Pelodiscus sinensis: one gene and its partner. The protein of the gene in region 2 purifies or fractionates together with the protein of the main gene of each other region. This does not show direct contact. Links are inferred from orthologs where the notes say so. Each region holds a gene or a part of one and is shown on either strand. Other genes may lie near its edges.

Evidence for each region.
Region 1: the proteins of PTPN21 (region 2) and thyroid receptor-interacting protein 6-like purify together in Homo sapiens (affinity purification with mass spectrometry; 3 studies listed by BioGRID and IntAct, with this or other methods). This does not show direct contact. The link is inferred for Pelodiscus sinensis from reciprocal best matches to the Homo sapiens genes PTPN21 and TRIP6.

What each region holds. Positions count from the first base shown.
Region 1 is NC_134734.1:9,899,359-9,907,495, reverse strand, and holds the start of thyroid receptor-interacting protein 6-like, read right to left. Parts: upstream 3,162-8,137; 5' UTR 3,141-3,161; coding exon 2,948-3,140; intron 2,638-2,947; exon of another isoform or gene 2,629-2,637; coding exon of another isoform or gene 2,439-2,628; intron 2,215-2,438; coding exon 2,039-2,214; intron 1,596-2,038; coding exon 1,476-1,595; intron 1,470-1,475; exon of another isoform or gene 1,404-1,469; coding exon of another isoform or gene 1,227-1,403; intron 775-1,226; coding exon 163-774; intron 1-162. Other genes in the region: BCL6B (B-cell CLL/lymphoma 6 member B protein), read left to right, coding at 7,688-7,863. UniProt on the Homo sapiens protein: Relays signals from the cell surface to the nucleus to weaken adherens junction and promote actin cytoskeleton reorganization and cell invasiveness. Involved in lysophosphatidic acid-induced cell adhesion and migration.
Region 2 is NC_134714.1:34,178,685-34,186,536, reverse strand, and holds the start of PTPN21 (tyrosine-protein phosphatase non-receptor type 21), read right to left. Parts: upstream 3,246-7,852; 5' UTR 2,824-3,245; intron 1-2,823.

The DNA of each region.
Region 1 (8,137 bases), on a different chromosome or scaffold from region 2:
AGCACCCTACAGGAGCTGGGATGATCCCTAGCAGGACAGAACCCACGAATCCCGGCTCCCAGGCTCTCCTGCTCTAACCCACCAGCCCCCCACTCCTGTCCCAGAGGACCTACATGTGTGGCTGCCCCTCATGCCCCTGGGGCCCATTTACTCTCACATTACCTGGTGCTGGTATCCTCCTCTGTCACCAGGGGGCACCTTTGCTGACACCGCCATCTCTTCCTTTCCTGGAGTCCCCACAGCAGCTTGGTACTGAGTCCCGGATGCCTCTCCTGGCTTCGCCAGCCCTCCTGCCTCATAGCATTCCCCCTCACCCAGCCTCTTGCCATAGCCCCCAGGCTCCAGATACCAGCCCTCCACCCCCCTGCCACCTGGCTCTGAGCCGTACTGGGCCCCACGGCCAGCTCCGGGTGATGGGGGTGCATAAGCCTGCTCAGCCCGGCGTCTCGGCTGACCATAGCCTAACACTGGCTGGGCAACTTTGACCTGGATGTTGAAGGCTGGCCCAGCTGATGTGGAGGCCGTGGTGTAGGATGCAGGCATAGGCTGTGGATACAGCTTCTGCCCAGGCAGCATCCATGGATAGCCAGCCCCATATGGGGGAGCTGGCCCGGAGGGAGCCATTGAGGTGGCAGGTTGGGGCAACGGCCCATATGATGAGCTCTTGGAGGCACAGGGTGGGGCAAAGGAGCCTGGCTTGTAAGGGCTGGGCATTTTGTGGGCGCCAGGTTGTGGGGGGGCAGTTGCTGATGGATACGGGACAGAGTCGAAGTTCTGGAGACGAAAGGAGAAGATGAAACAGACATCTGGAAGCAGATAGGTGAGGATTTGGGGATCCCTGCTGTACTTGGGGGGATATCTAATGACTCCCTAGCCTACAAATCCACCTCACCCCAAAATGCTCCCCACCCCAACCCTCAACACATCAAAAGAGCCACCATTCCCCAAGGAACCCACCAAGACTGCAAGTTAACGCTCAACTTTGGCTACATCAACAATGGTCCCATAAAACCATCAATATTGCACAAACCGTCGAAGCTGAAAGCTTGTGGCATACTCCATTAGCAAGCTTGGATTTTTAGCTTTCCAGCAGCACATGACATCTCTATGCCCAATGGTTCAGGAGAAATCAGGCACTAAAAGAGGCCCAATGTGACTCCTGTGTACCATCCTGATTTCCCTTACCGCAGGATGTAGGTTGGAAAGTAATTTCCAGTGGCTAATACCTGGAGAACTGGGGGAAGGAGAAATGGGTAGCTGATACCACCTGGAAGTTCTGGGTCTTTGCTTTCCAATGGCATCATGTGGAGTCTGGATCCAGTGGTTCTGGAGATGCTGGGCACTGGTGTTGCCATATGATGGCAAGGAGAGGGGCAAGAAGGTACTTGGAAAGAAGTGATCATAGGGCTGACATTTCATTGGTGGGAAAGTCTGTGCCAATGAAACCACCGCCCCAAAGCCTCCTGGCTGTTTACCTGCCTCTCTCCCTGGCGCTGGGGGCCGGTGCTCTCCATATCTGCCAGCATATGGGTGAGTGAATCTATTTGGGCGTCAATGCTGGAAGGGCGGTGGGGTCCTGGATCTAGGGCAGATCCCTAAGGAAACAGACAGCAGATTAGAGTGTAGAGATAGGGGGGCTGTATGGTACAGTCCAGACTTGCAAGATGGAATCACAGAGTGCAGCTGCTGACCTAGTGGCAGGCAGTTCCACAAGTTAACAAAAATCGGGCATTATGCTCTAGGGCATGAGATGGGCAGGATCAGGAAGGCACTTTCTCCTGTGCCCCCTATGACAAAGGCAGATTAATTATGGGAAAATTAAGCCTTCAAGGATACTGTGCTGTCACCCTATGGGAGAGCTTTTACTCCCACTTCCTCTACTACCTCAAATCCCTGAGGGCTAGGAGAGGTTTTGAGGGGTGCTCCGGGCTGGGGGGATGCCCTTCCAATGCCATGCACATAAGGAAATTCACCCTGAGTCCTGCCTTTACAAGGACTCCATGTTCTGGCCCATCCTCCCTCCTGTTCCACCTCCTACCTGGATGTGGTATCCTCGTGCAGCAGACAGGGCAGCCCCCCACGGTGCCCCCAGGCCTCGCTCATCCTTGGCCCCAGAGACAGATGGGTGATGATGCTGGGAGCCAGCCAGGGGGCCAAAGCTAGAAAGCAGGGGGGCCGGCCCCCTGGGATCCTGATGATGGGGGGAGAGGCTGCCTAGAGAGGGAAAAAGGAGTCAGACCCCTCCTGCTCTGTGCTGGCTCTCAGTCCCCCTGCTCTAACCATCAGCCCCCACTCTCCTCCCTGAGCTGGGGGGAGAGTCCAGGAGTGTGAGCTTCCAGCCCCTCTGCTCTGATTTGCTCCCTTGCAACCCAGGCAGGCATCCACTGCCCTCACCTGGATCAGACCCATCGGGCATGGGGGGAGGGGGAGGTATTTACCGGGGCCCTCTGGCTGGTAGCCCGTCCCACTCATGCCTTCCCCGTTCTGTTCCTGGGGGGCCAACCGGGGGGATGCAGGGCCCGTGGCATGTTTCTTCTGGGGTTTGCAAAGCGCCGGAGCAGAGACTGAGACGCCGGGAGACCCCGAAGAACTTGCCCGCTTGGGGGGGAGCCAGGTGGGACCGGACATCTCGGGGACCTGTGGGGGGAGTGGTGTAGAGAGGTTAGAGGGGGAAGAGCGAGAAATCAGGACTCCTGGGTTCTCTCCCCAGCTCTGGGAGGGGTGTGGGGCAGCCCTGGTAGCCGCGGGGGAGGGGGGGGGATGATGTAACTCGCACCTGGCCTCATAGCCCTGGTTTTGGGAAGGATTCCCACGGGTGTGGGGGTCTTACTCCAGCCTGCTCCGGTTCCCCCCCCCCGTGGGTGCCCGGGGGGAGGAGAGGTGCGAGGAGGGGGTGTCTCTGGTCACGTGGGGGAATACCTGCGGGGAGGAGGGACCCGCTACTTACCTAACCCCGAGGGGGAATCCCGGCGGGGGGTCCCACCGCCTCCTGTCTTGCCCCGCTGGGAGGGTCCCTGGCTCGCAGGGAAGAGTCCTAGAGCTTCCGGATCCAGCCAGCTCCGAACTTCCCGGAAAAGTTCCCCCTCCCCCACCTGCCCCCAAAAACTTTTTAATGGACCCCCTCGATGACGACACCACATTCCAGATAGGGTCACGTGGGGCTGGGAATTCCTGCCACTTCCGGTGGGGGGAGCATGGGATGGGAGGGGCAACCTAGGCCCACCCTGGGCTGGGATGGAGGCAGGGTCCCCCGCCCACTCTGGGAGGGGAGTGAGGGGTGGTGGGTTAGAGCAGAGCTGGAGGTTGGGTCGGGGAGGGGCTGGGAGCCAGGACTCCTGGGTTCTCTTCCTGGCTGTGGGAGGGAGCGGCCTGGCTCTGGGTGGGGAACTGGATACCCGCCTTTTCCCTGGCAGAAGGGTTTCCTGGGCCCTGCTTAGCATCCCTGGCTCCCTTCCAGCATTATCAATCCTTGAGCCTCTCCTGCTACCTTATCAGTCCTGGAGATTATTGGTAGCCTGTCTGTTGCAGATTTGTGCCCATGCTTGACCCTGTGCAGCCTCTGGGGGAACCCCCTTCCCTGCGACAGCCTCTTCTCAGGGGCCACTCTCTTTTGGGAGTTAAGCCCCTTAACTCCTTGGACTGCACCTCTCTGAGCCCCCAGCATGCCTGTTTCTGTTGTGGGCCCCCTCAGGGAGTGCACTTGTCCTGGACCCTTGAGCCTGCACTCCCAGAGGGAATAATGCAGCCCTGTTCTCCAGACCAAAACGACTCTCAGCTATAAAACAGGAGGGTTTATTTAGCGTCTGAACACAGCATAGAAACTGTCAGGGTTGGTAGGCCTGGCCTCCCTCAGCACAGCGGCTACGTCTAGACTGGCACGAATTTCCGAAAATGCTTTTAACAGAAAAGTTTTCCGTTAAAAGCATTTTCGGAAAAGCACGTCTAGATTGGCAGGATGCTTTTCCGCAAAAGCACTTTTTGCGGAAAAACGTCCGTGGCCAATCTAGACACGGTTTTCCGCAAAAAAGCCCCGATCGCCATTTTCGTGATCGGGGCTTTTTTTTCGGAAAACACTACTATGCTGTCTACACTGGCCCTTTTGGGCAAAAGTCTTTCGGAAAAAGACTTTTGCCCGAACGGGAGCAGCATAGTATTTCCGGAAAAGTATTGATGATTTTACATTAGATTGTCAGTGCTTTTCCGGAAATTCAAGCAGCCAGTGTAGACAGCTGGCAAGTTTTTCCGCAAAATCATCTGATTTTGCAGAAAAACTTTTCAGTCTAGACACAGCCAGCATGTTTGAGTCTTCCCTGAAGCCAGGTGGGCTCTGGGTGCTCTGTTCCCCCTCCTATCCTGCGCCCTGAGCACTTCCTATCTGGGCCTCTGATATTCCCTGCCCCCAAACCCCATGGCTGTCCTAATTTCCAGGGCCCCCACCCGCTGCAGGCCCTGCCCCACCCCTGTTCAGGCCCCAGGCACCATGTAATGCCATGGGTCTTGTCTATAGGATGTTTTTGGCGGTCACTACAGAGACCCCAAAGGCACAGGGCCTGGGGTGGCACAGGGCCTGGGGTGGCTGCCCCAAACCGTCCTATGGCTGTCGATGTCTTCTGTCCTGGTAAACAAGCTTGCCCTGGCCCCTCTCTTTTCTGTCTCTCTTTCCCCTCATCTGTCCTTTGTCCTCATGGGCTGGAACCAGCTGGATAGGTCATTGGGGTCCTCTCTCTACTGTCTGGGCTGGGGTCACCAGTCACTAGGGGTACCAGATGATTTAAAAAAAATACCAGACACACTTGATCTCAGATTGGGGGGAGGACTGGCCGGGAAAGGAGCGGGGCTGGCCAGGAGGAGGTTGGGGGGAGCAGGGCTGGTCGGAGGAGATCAGGGTGGGGGAACGGCCGGTGGGAAGCAGGGATGGCCAGGAAGAGATTGGGGGGAGCAGGGCTGGCTGGGAGGGGATCAAAGGGAGCAGGGCTGGCCAGGAGAGGGTTGGGGGGATTGGGGCTGGCCGGGGGGGAAGTGGCCGGTGAGGAGTGGGGCTGGCCGGGAGAGGGTTTGGGGGAGTGGGGCTGGCCAGGGGGGAGTGGGGCTGGCCTGTGGGGAACCGGCCAGTGGGGAGCGGGGCTGTCTGGGAGGGGAGTGGAGGAGGAACTGGCCGGCGGGACTGGCCCGGGTGCACGCAGATCCCGGGGTGCTGCCCATCCTGTGCATGGCCCTGGCGGGGCGCAAGAGCAAATCTGGCCCCAGGGATTCCATCCCGCCCCGGCCCCGGCCCCGGCCCTAGCCCTGGCCCTGGCCTCACCTCCCTCCTCTCTACTGCGTAGTTGCGTACTGATACTCATGATAATATTAAAACTTACTTAATTAGAAAATACCAGACATTTATATGTCCGGTATTTTCTCAATTTGTTTCCTGGACAGAAAGCTCAAATACCAGGCTGTCCGGTTCAAAACCGGACCCCTGGGAACCCTACCAGTCACCGGGGTCTCCATTCTCCAGCCCACTGGCCAGACTCTCCAGTTCTGTGTTGGTTCCTGTAACAACCAATTCCCTCTTCCCTCCCCTCGTTAAACCAATAAGAGAGAGGGACTTGGAAACCCACTTCCCCACACCATCCACACAGGCAGCCACCAGGAAAATCTGAATAGCTAATCTAGGGAGAATGGCTCCTTCAGGCAGGACTCTGCCCAGACACACACTGAAAGAAAATCCCTGACCCAAAAAGCTGACAGTCTGATGTGAGAAAGGAAACTGAGGAACAGCAGAATGGGACTGACCCAACATCACAGCTAGGGCTAGAACCCAGAAGTCCTGGTGCTCAGTTCCCGTTATCAGGGCCCAGTTCTGCAGCATGCCACCTGCTTAGCAAGGGGCTGACACTGCAAGTCAGGGAGCTCCGCAGTCCCACAGCGCCACAGAATGGCCACAGGCTGGTGCCAACAAGTCCTGGAACTACAGTGATTCTGCTGCTGGTGGGGGCTGGGAGCCCTGGTGCTGCTGGTACATACAAATGTGGGTTCAGCAGACCAATGCGGAGAGGAAGGTGGCAGCGGGTGCAGCCCTGGGCACAGGGAATGGCTTCAAATGAAGCTGGGCTGCTCAAGCTGCCTTTTAAATGTGCCCCAACCCACGACGCTGCTAGGCTGTCTTCCTCCCCCCGCAGTGAATGATGTCACTGCCTGGGGAACCCCACCCTCCCTCCCCACTGAGCTTTTCCTGCATTTGTTGCTGTACCACAAAAGGCTTTGTGTCCAGAAACATCCAGGGACGCCTTTCTGCTACTGAGATGTAGCCATCTCTAGCGTGGGGTTGCCAGTTATACAAGGGCCCCCCGCCCAGTGCTGAGGTACAGCCATCTTAGGGGGTGAGGTGGCTGGTTACACAGGGACCCCTCAACCTGGCCACCTTTGGGATGGGGCAGCTGGTTACACGGGAATCCCTTGCCTGACACTGAGATGCGACCACTTCTGGGGCAGGACAGCTGGTTACACGGGGACCCCTTGCCTGGTGCTGAGATGCAGCCTCCTCTGGGGCGAGGTGGCGGGTTACACAGGGACCCCTCTCCCAGTGCTGAGATTTGGCCACCTCTGGGGCAGGACGGCCAGTTACATGGGGACCCCTCACTTGGCACTGAGCTGAATGTGTTTGAGCTATCCCATTGCTCCCCTGCCCCCCCAGACCAGTGTGTCTTAATCTCGTCAAACTTGGGATCGGGGTCCAAAACAAACAGTCTATTTCCTCCTCCCATCATATTCCCACCTCCGTGCCTTCCCCCCGGCCCTGGCCCCTCAGCACAGGCGAAGACAATACGAGGAAATGGCACAGAGCAAATTCACTCAGAGACCTAACACTCAAGCTGCCCCCCACCCCAAATCCCAGTCCCTTCCTCCCAATTCCTGGGTCTGGGGAACCAAGGGTGTCTTAGCATAGCAATGGGGTGACTTGAGTAGGAGAGGCTGGGAGCCAGGGCTCCTGCATTCTCTCTCGGGCTCTGGGAGGGGAGTCAGGCCTGGTGGGGTAGAACAAGGGGGCTGGAAGCCAGGATTCCTGAGTTCTTGCCTTGGCTCTGGGATGGATATGAGAACTAGCAGTTAGAGTGGGGAGCTGCATTTGTTTGTGGATCTGGGATTTGTCCTACCTTTTTCCTGAAAGGTCTATTAATAACCCCCCTCCACCCCCCGCCTTTTCCCTGGCAGCTGGGCCGGGGCAGGAAGGATGTGAACTAGAGAGAGAACTTCCCCCTGTCCCTCCAGGACATTATAAGAGCCTCCAGCCCTGCTGAGTTATTGGAGGCTGGTTCTCCAGGCCGGGGGAACAGCTGGGACTTTACCACCCCTCTACACCCTGAAAGTCCTGCTGGCAGGAGTGTCCGAGGGTCCCTGCTGGTCAGGGTGAGCTGTCATTACCTGGTCTCCTGGGTTTTCTCCTGCCTCTGGGAGCGGAGTGGGGGCTGGTGGGTTAAAGCGGGGGGAAAGGGCTGAAAGCCAGGACTCTTGGGTTCTCTCCTTGGTTGTGGGAGGAGAGCGGGGGCTGGTGGGTTAGAGCCAGGGAGGGGAACTGGAATGCAAGACTCTTGCCCCTCTACTCTGTGTGTCTTACCCTCCCCTCTGAGTAGCCCTGTCTCTTCCCCTCCACATACACATCTGGCCTGCGGGAACCCTCCCCACCCCTGTATCTGCAGGCGCCATGAGCAGGGGCACTGCCAGGGGCCCAGCTGGCTGCGTCCGGGAGTTCACACGCCACGCCGGCGACGTGCTGCTGAACCTGGACCAGCTACGCCACCGCCACGTCTTGACCGATGTCACCCTGCTGGTGGGGGGACGCCCCTTGCTGGCCCACAAGGCTGTGCTGGCAGCCTGCAGGTGAGGGGAAGGGGTTGTCAGGGATGGGGGCTTAACTAAAGAGGATGTGGCTGGTGCAGGGTCTGGGGCATGGCTAGAGAGGGTGTGGCTGTAAGGGATAGGATGTGACTAAAGAGAGTGCTGATGGGGGACAGGGCATGGCTAGATAGGTGGGGTTTTGAAGGAATGGGCGTGGCTAGAGATAGTATGGTTATGAGGCATGGCATGGCTAGAGAGGGCGTGGCTGTGGATGTGTGGCCATGGCTATAGAAGAAAGCAATGCCTTGGTGGGCAT
Region 2 (7,852 bases):
TGTATCTGTGAACTAGAGATTAACTCTGTACCTAGGCAAAAAGTGATTCTGTAATTATCAAGCCATATGCCTAGCTTCAGTGCTACAAAAACCTAGCCTTGAAGGTACTAGTTACTACACTATGGAATTTAATAATTAAGCCAATCATCAATGAAACGCCAGACTGCTACAGACAACATGTTCTGCAACATTAACTGTGATAGCAGTTATTAACTATCTGCTCTATCACAGTAGCTAAAGACCTGTCAGTATTTACCATCAAGTCTTATTTTTAGCAGTGTTGTAGTATGGCAGCAAATATTTACTGTGGGTAAAAGCGTACAAGTTTGTCAAATCATGTACATCATTTTGTCAACAAAGTATTGCACGTGATTTCTCTCTTTCACAGTTTGGAGAGAATCAAAACATCAACTCATTTCCAAAGTCTTCCAAACAACATTTATTTGGACTAGCATGTGTTAATATTATATTTCTAAAAGTATTGATTTCTGAGACAACTCCCCTCGCAGTTTGTTAAATCATATACCTTATTTCCATAATACAGATTAATTTTGATGAGGGAGGCACACAGTTCCCTTTTAGTTTCTTAAAACATATAAATATTTGAATTAGGGGGTAGGGATAGCTCAGTGGTTTGAGCATTGGCCTGCTAAACCCAGGGATGTGAGTTCAATCCTTGTGGAGGCCATTTGGGGCAAAAATTCATTGGGGTGGTACTTGGTCCTGCTGTGTAGGCACAGGACTGGACTCAATGACCTTTCAAGGTCCCTTCCAGTTCTAGGAGATAGGCAATCTCTATTATATAAAATCATTCTGACTCCATCCAGGAAAATTCAAAACAAACTCCTACTGAGCTCCATGTTCCCCTTTGTTAGGCACTATGGATGGCAATAAAAGTAGACAAAAATAGACAGACAACCCCATGACACAGAAGACAAGGTGAAGCAGCACCTCAGTGACCTACTTCAGTCCCCACATCAGGAAACCCTCCAAGACCTTTTTGCATGGTAATGCTCCTAATGATTTGGAGCAAGTTGTGCCCTTATATGTAACATACTTACAGAAGACTGCAAGTAATTAGGTAAGCTGTACTGGACTGTCTCCCTGTACACATATGCAATACCTAACAAATTTCTAAGTAGTGAATTACTACTAGAATGCAATAACAATTGATGGAATAAGATTTCCCTGCCTAGGGTGATGTGGGGTTTCCAGGCTTTCCTGTTTGCTCTGTACACTGATCCGCATTGTATCATTATATAGAAGAACTATGCAGGAAAGTTTCCACAGACAGAACCTTGCAGCGTTTCTGCATGCTGAGGGCAGAATCCCCCAGTGGATTTATTCCTTGCAGTGAAACTTGTAGATCACTGACCAAGCTCGGTTTCCTGTGTCTTGTTATTGAATAGATTATGCACGTCTCATTCTTCTAGTTCCAAAACCAAAAACAAATTATGGAGCTTTTAGTCAGTTTTTCTCAGAACTTTAAGTCTGTTTTACATCATTTTAAAAGGATACAATTAAACAATAGCGACTTTCAGTCTTTTTAACTCTAAGGATTTTTTTTTGAAGATGTTATTTGGGTGCTATGTAACGCACTAGCTCCAAAGTGACTGACAAATGACGTTTACTTAATGAAAGTGTCAGATTCCCTGGATTCTCACTGTTAGTTATTTCTTTAATAAAACTAGATTTATGCACAGGAGTGAATTTTATATAAGACTTCTTACTCTGTTAAATAGGAACATTCCAGGTACATTCTGAACATGCCAGGTACATTCTGAAGGCCATATTGTATTCTCTGCATGCTTCCCTGGCGATGACAAACTAATTTTCACTTTATCTGAATTATATTTTTGATAATTTTTGCTTACATATGAAACATGCTTATTTTCACTTTATAAGATTATTCTTAGGAAAGCTATAGTGAAATTAAGTAATTACACGTATGTAATTTTCAATCCATATCACATACATAGCCCCTAACATATTGTAAAATACACTTGTATCCAACAAATAAGAACATGATTTGGGGAATAATGCCCAACAGTCATTCAATAAGTAACTGCTGGCCAGTTTTGTTTTCATTTAGCAGCTGTCATTTTGCTCTACCATCTGCTTCATATTTGTCTTGGGCATTACTTCAAATGTGTGTGTATATATACTGTTATGCTTTAAAAAGAGAGGGAGAACCGAGTTAAGGTGCCAATGCTTGCAAATGAAATCAACTCTCCTGAAATTACAAGTCTTTATTTAGTAGGCCTAGAATTTTCATACATCAGCCAAAAAAGAATTTCACTTGCTACATTCATCCATTCATGCGACACATAAAGTTTAGATAAGAATTTAGCACAATCTGGCCACAAACCAAACAGAATTACCAAGGACCTCTTAAATTCATTTAACTTTGTAAAGCATTTCATCATAACAGGAATGACAGACAGTCTGCAACATAAAAGTGCAACACAGGGAGGAGAAATTAGGTTTCTGCTATTTCAATTATTTAAATGTATAAACTTATTTTATAAATACGAGGCGAACGAAGCCTAAAACAAAACCACTTCCCTCGCCTTGTTACATGTTTACCAGTCAACCGCTGGTTTTACTTACTTCTGGACTAACGGTAAGAGTAAGAGCCAAATGCGCACATCGCAAACTTCTTCTACACAGAGCGAAAAGGCCCTGAAAGCTACACTGACCTCGCCTCTCCAGACTGCTTTTATTTCTCTTAAAGGAAATGCCTAAGCCCGTGTAGCCTGAACGCACAGAACAAAGAGGGGAAGAACATGTTATTTCCAACAGTGCCCGAGCCTTTCCCATTACCTGCTGCAGTGATCCAAAGCCACCGCGTGTCCCTGCCCACATCGTGAGCTGTGACACCCCCATCAGCACCGCTGAGAGCTCTTCCCCCGAAGCCGTCTCATCTAAATTCCTGGGGAACGGGGGTATTGTGCGCCCCTTGCACGAAACAGCTGCTACCTCCGCTCACCCGCCTGCTTCTCAGATCACTCATAGTGAAAACACGCCTCACTTCCTGTCTCAAAGCCCTTGCTCTGGATAGCATTCCACTGGGTATCATTCCACTGGGTAAAGAGTCGGGGAGGGGAACAATATTGCAGCCAAATAAACCTGCCGCAGCAGCCAGCTTTGCAGACAGGAAAGGGCGCTGTGAGGCTTGGCCACAACATGAGTTTTCTGGAATACAGTATTCCAAGTCCTCTCTCGCTCGCTCTCCCTGTGCATGTAATTTCTCTTGCTGGAGGCGTTCCTCTGGCTCTATCCATGCGGAAGGATACGCTGACAGATTAAAGTGAAACCCGTATGCTTGTAGCCTGTTACCTCAGAGAGTTGGAATGCCTGGCAGGGAGAATGTCAGCAATGGGACAGCTGCTTCTCTGGCTACAGGGGCGCTACAGAAATAGGGGTTTACAACAAACCCTATTTCAGATGCCTTCTTTGCAGCAACAGCACTACTGAGCTGAACACAAAATTGATTAGGAGATAGAACTCCCAGTCCTTGGTCAGACAAAATTCCAAGAGAGATCAACAGGAATTTTGCAGTCAGTAAGAACAGTAAGATCAGGCACTAAATGAAGACTAATTAGTTAAATGCTTCATAAACTTGGACTAAAGAAAAGCCTCATATAAATATTAAGGATTGAATCTCAGTCGCTGAGTGGGAATCAGTGGGGAGTTCTACAGAGAAGGAGTTCTGACCTCTCTTCAGGTTTTTGTAATGGAATGACCCTCCTTGTTGTGTGTGACATTGGTAAGCAAGAAGAAGGGGCCAAGAAGAAGGGGAAAAAAATAAGTGAATGTTGAATCATTATCAGAAAATGTCAATTATACAATCTGAACTCTTCTCCACACTCTAGGTAATTTTTACTTGAATGTCCCCATGGACAGCAGATAACTGATCAGTGGCAACAAAATGTAGGTAATATTTGTACAATGAGGAACTTTCTTGAGTTATTTCTTCAATGTGTTAGGCCCCCCACATGGTTTTTATCACCTTTTTTCATTCTGAACACAATTTCTCTGCCCCTCTCCATCTTAATGCTATTGAGGTCTATACTGTATATGATGATTACTGGAAGATGTCTATTCCAAGACAAAAATTAGACTGAGGGATTTTATGTTAGGAGTAAATACCAGTAACAAGTGTACAAAATTACAGGAATATTCCAGTGATTTCCAAAATATGCTGACTTTAAATTTCATTTTAAAGAAATATCAGCATGTTAATGCACCTAATTAACACTAAGGCACCCAAATAACCTTAACTCTGTAGTGATACCATGCAATAACCATTCAATTATACTTAATTCATTTGTGATTTGGTCCCTCCCAGACCATTTTTCTTCCTTAATGGAGTCAACTATGGGGCATAGGGAAAGTTATTTAATACATCCATACATTGCAACACTAGTAGGTTTGGAGAAAAATCTCTCCCCCTGCTCCCATTTAGTACCCTGTCATTGGGAGTGATTGCCCTTGGCTGCAGGTGTCTGAGAGTTCCTACATTTTATCTGTTAAATCCAGCTTTCACTGGATTTACATCTCTGAGAACTCTGTTAGCTCTCTAATTTTTAATCTATGTGTTATTTTTGCATCTTACACTAAGATGGCACCCAGCTCAGCACAAGTGCATGGAGCTTGTTAGTGGGCCCCTCCATGGAACTACATGCAGCCTACATTTCCACCTTTCTTCACAGGCCCTGTATTTCTCTAAGTTTCCTATAAGGGACCCATCCCTCCCATTCCTCTCTGCTTCTACGCCTCTCCTGCTGTCATGTCCCCACATGTTCTGTACTGCTCTCTGTGCTCCCCCAGCCCTCGTTCTTGCAGCCAAGTCTGACAGGCACTCAGGACACTTGTGACAGCTGTGGCTTCATTGCTGTTTAATGCACATGCTTGGATCTCTTACGCAGTTCTTTAGCAGAGGTAGTCTGACTGCTCACGGAAGCAGGGCTGGTAGTGAATTAATGTGCACTACAGCAGGCTCCATCAAGTTGGAGAAGGCTCCGTAGTCAGCTGTAATTCAAGCAAGGGGGACCCTTAGCGAAGCTCCTTCCCTCCCCCGCTCAGTCCTTGGGCCTGCGACAGAATGGGGCTGGAGCTGGGCCCATATCTCCTGGGAGGTCACAGGCCAGTACACACTTTGACCTGGTTGGATTCCCACCCCTCCAGTGAGCAACATGGCTATTAGGCTGTACTAGAATTGATGGTCAACAGACTGACACTACTTACTGCCATGCTTACCACAGGCAGGGGACTGGTTGTGCCTTCATTTGCTGGCTTAGACTGAACTGGTGTTGCCCCATTGAGCGTCTCAGGGGCTTGCCTTTCTCTATCCTTGGAACTTGAGCAATGCCAGCAATGTAGCTGGGTATCGTGGCTAAGCAGGCCATGGTGGTTAAATGCAGGAGTTCACTGTGCCCCCTTCCTGGTGTTTTGGTGTCTATGCATGATTCCAAGGTTTGGGTCAGGGATGGGAATTACTCTTTGTGGGATTTATAAAATCTTCTCTCCTTTTACAAATATATTTTCTTATTCTCTTCCCTTTTGCTACTTAACAGCGTGTGTCTGAAATTTCCTTTTTGTTTTTCGCCACTCAAAAAGGAATTATTTCTGACAAATACAGGATGCTCCATGAAAAAAGGTTAAATCGGAGCTTTCAGAAAATTGCAAAGCCTTTTAAAATATGGAGTGTTGTAGTCCTATCAGGCCCAGGATATTAATAAAATGAAAGAGATAATATCTTTTATTAGACAGACTTCTCTTGGTGTGAGATACAAGTTTTCTAGTTTGCATGGTGCTTTTCTTCTGGAAAGCTTAATCAGAGTATCACAGATAAAAACTCTGATTAAATTTCTCAGACCTGGAGAAAAGCTCTGTGTAACTCAAAAGCTTGTCTTTCTCATCAACAGAAAGTGGTTCAATAAAATATATTGTCACCACACCCATCTTGTCTAAGGGACCTCTTTAAGACCCCTAGGCAGTTATGTGAAATGCATCACTAATTTATTTGTTGAGTTTTAAAAAGAGTGTTAAGTGCCATAGAGTCCTAAAATGACACAGTCACTATCCGGGTTCTACAATGTGTGCAGTCAAATGTGTCCATTATGTTTCTGAAGATGAAACTTTTATCTGTGTTTGATGGGTCCTCTTTCAAGGAACAAATAAGCTCGTAAACAATAAAGTGCAGTTCATAATTTTCTGAGATTATTATTGAGGTTTTCCAGTCACAGCTTTGTAGTTAACACTGATTTTTGCACTTAACACAGAGGTGAATCATTTGATTTATGTATGAAGAATACAGCATATCTTCCCCAGAATTACAGCATTGTATCAGAAAATTCATTCTGTATTCAAAGATAATGTACAAGTAATCCACTAATTAGTTTGGGATAAAATTAATTTTACAATATGCCCTTTAGCATTCAGACCTTCCTTATCCAGACATCATCTCTGCTCCATACTGAATCCGTAAGTAATTTTTTGCAATTGTCCTCAACGTCTTTAGAGTAAATTTAATATAATCTGGGACCATAAACAAAAATTATTGCATCATGTTGATACAGGACAGAGTTAATGTTATTTACATACCTTTACTGTTTATTTCCATATTTAAATATGTTTGTATTTCTTTTAAGTTTTACCTTAACTTCTGGGTTTGTAAGCTTTTTTATGGGATAATTACAACCCTGTAATGTTAATGTTTTTACATTTAAGATAGTCATATGTTCTTTAACTGTAGTTTTTTTTGTATGAAAATAATCTTTGTTTCAATTATTAAAAATAGTATAAAATATACTAAGACCATTTCATTTCATTTCAATGCTATCTCATTATTTCCTTGTACTCTCCTATCCATCTGAAGATATCTGATGTTTTGTCTTAGCAGAGGTGTAGGGGAGCTCAGGGTTGGGGGTTAAGGGAGAGGAGGATTTAGGGCAATAGGTGGTGATGTGGGGGTGCAGGAGTCAAGGGGTCGGCAGGTGTGGGAACTCAGGGCAGGGTGGTTGGAGTTTTGGGGGGGGGGGAGAACTGAAAATGCAGTAACTGTGCTGCCCGGCCAACAGATCCCCAGTGGCTGGAGCTTAGGTGCATTGTGGTCATGCTGCTCAGGGTGTAATCACAAAAGCCATTTTTGTCATTACACTGGCAGCATGCCCTGTCCCCAGCCAGTCATTCTGTTACCAGAAATGGGTGACAGGGGAGGGAATCAAGTGAGGATTACCTGTTGTGTTCCCTCCCTCTGGGGCATCTGGTATTGGCCACTGTCTGCAGACAAGATACTGGGCTAAGTGAACCGTTGGTCTGATGCAGCATGGCCGTTCTTATGCTGTGCTGCACCAGTTTATTTTCATCTTATTTTTAGATTGTAAAATCCCAGGGACAATGGGGATGGGTGGGAGGAGATTGCTGCATGTTTATATAGCACCTAGCACCATGAGGTTCTAGCCCATGACTTGAGCTGTTAAGCAACACTATAACACAACTTTTTAAAAGTTACCATGTGATATATACAATTTAAGAATTTGCAGTTTCACCTGAATTTGTTTTATTTTCAGTTTTTAGGAACAGATCTCATGTGCACTCTGTTTTATGACATTTTTGAGCAGTCCAAAGCAGGGGTGGCAGGTTTTCAGAAATTCTGATGGTACCCAGAAGATCCACCCCTCTCCCATCTGCCTAAGGCTCCTAGATTCCATCCCAGAGCCCACACCCAAGACTTCCTTCCCCCCACAAACTCCACCCCCCTCCCACCTAAAACTCTGGGAAGGAGTTTGTGTGGTGGAGGGTGCCTTGGATGCTGGCTCCGGGATATGGCCTGGGTGCTGGCTTT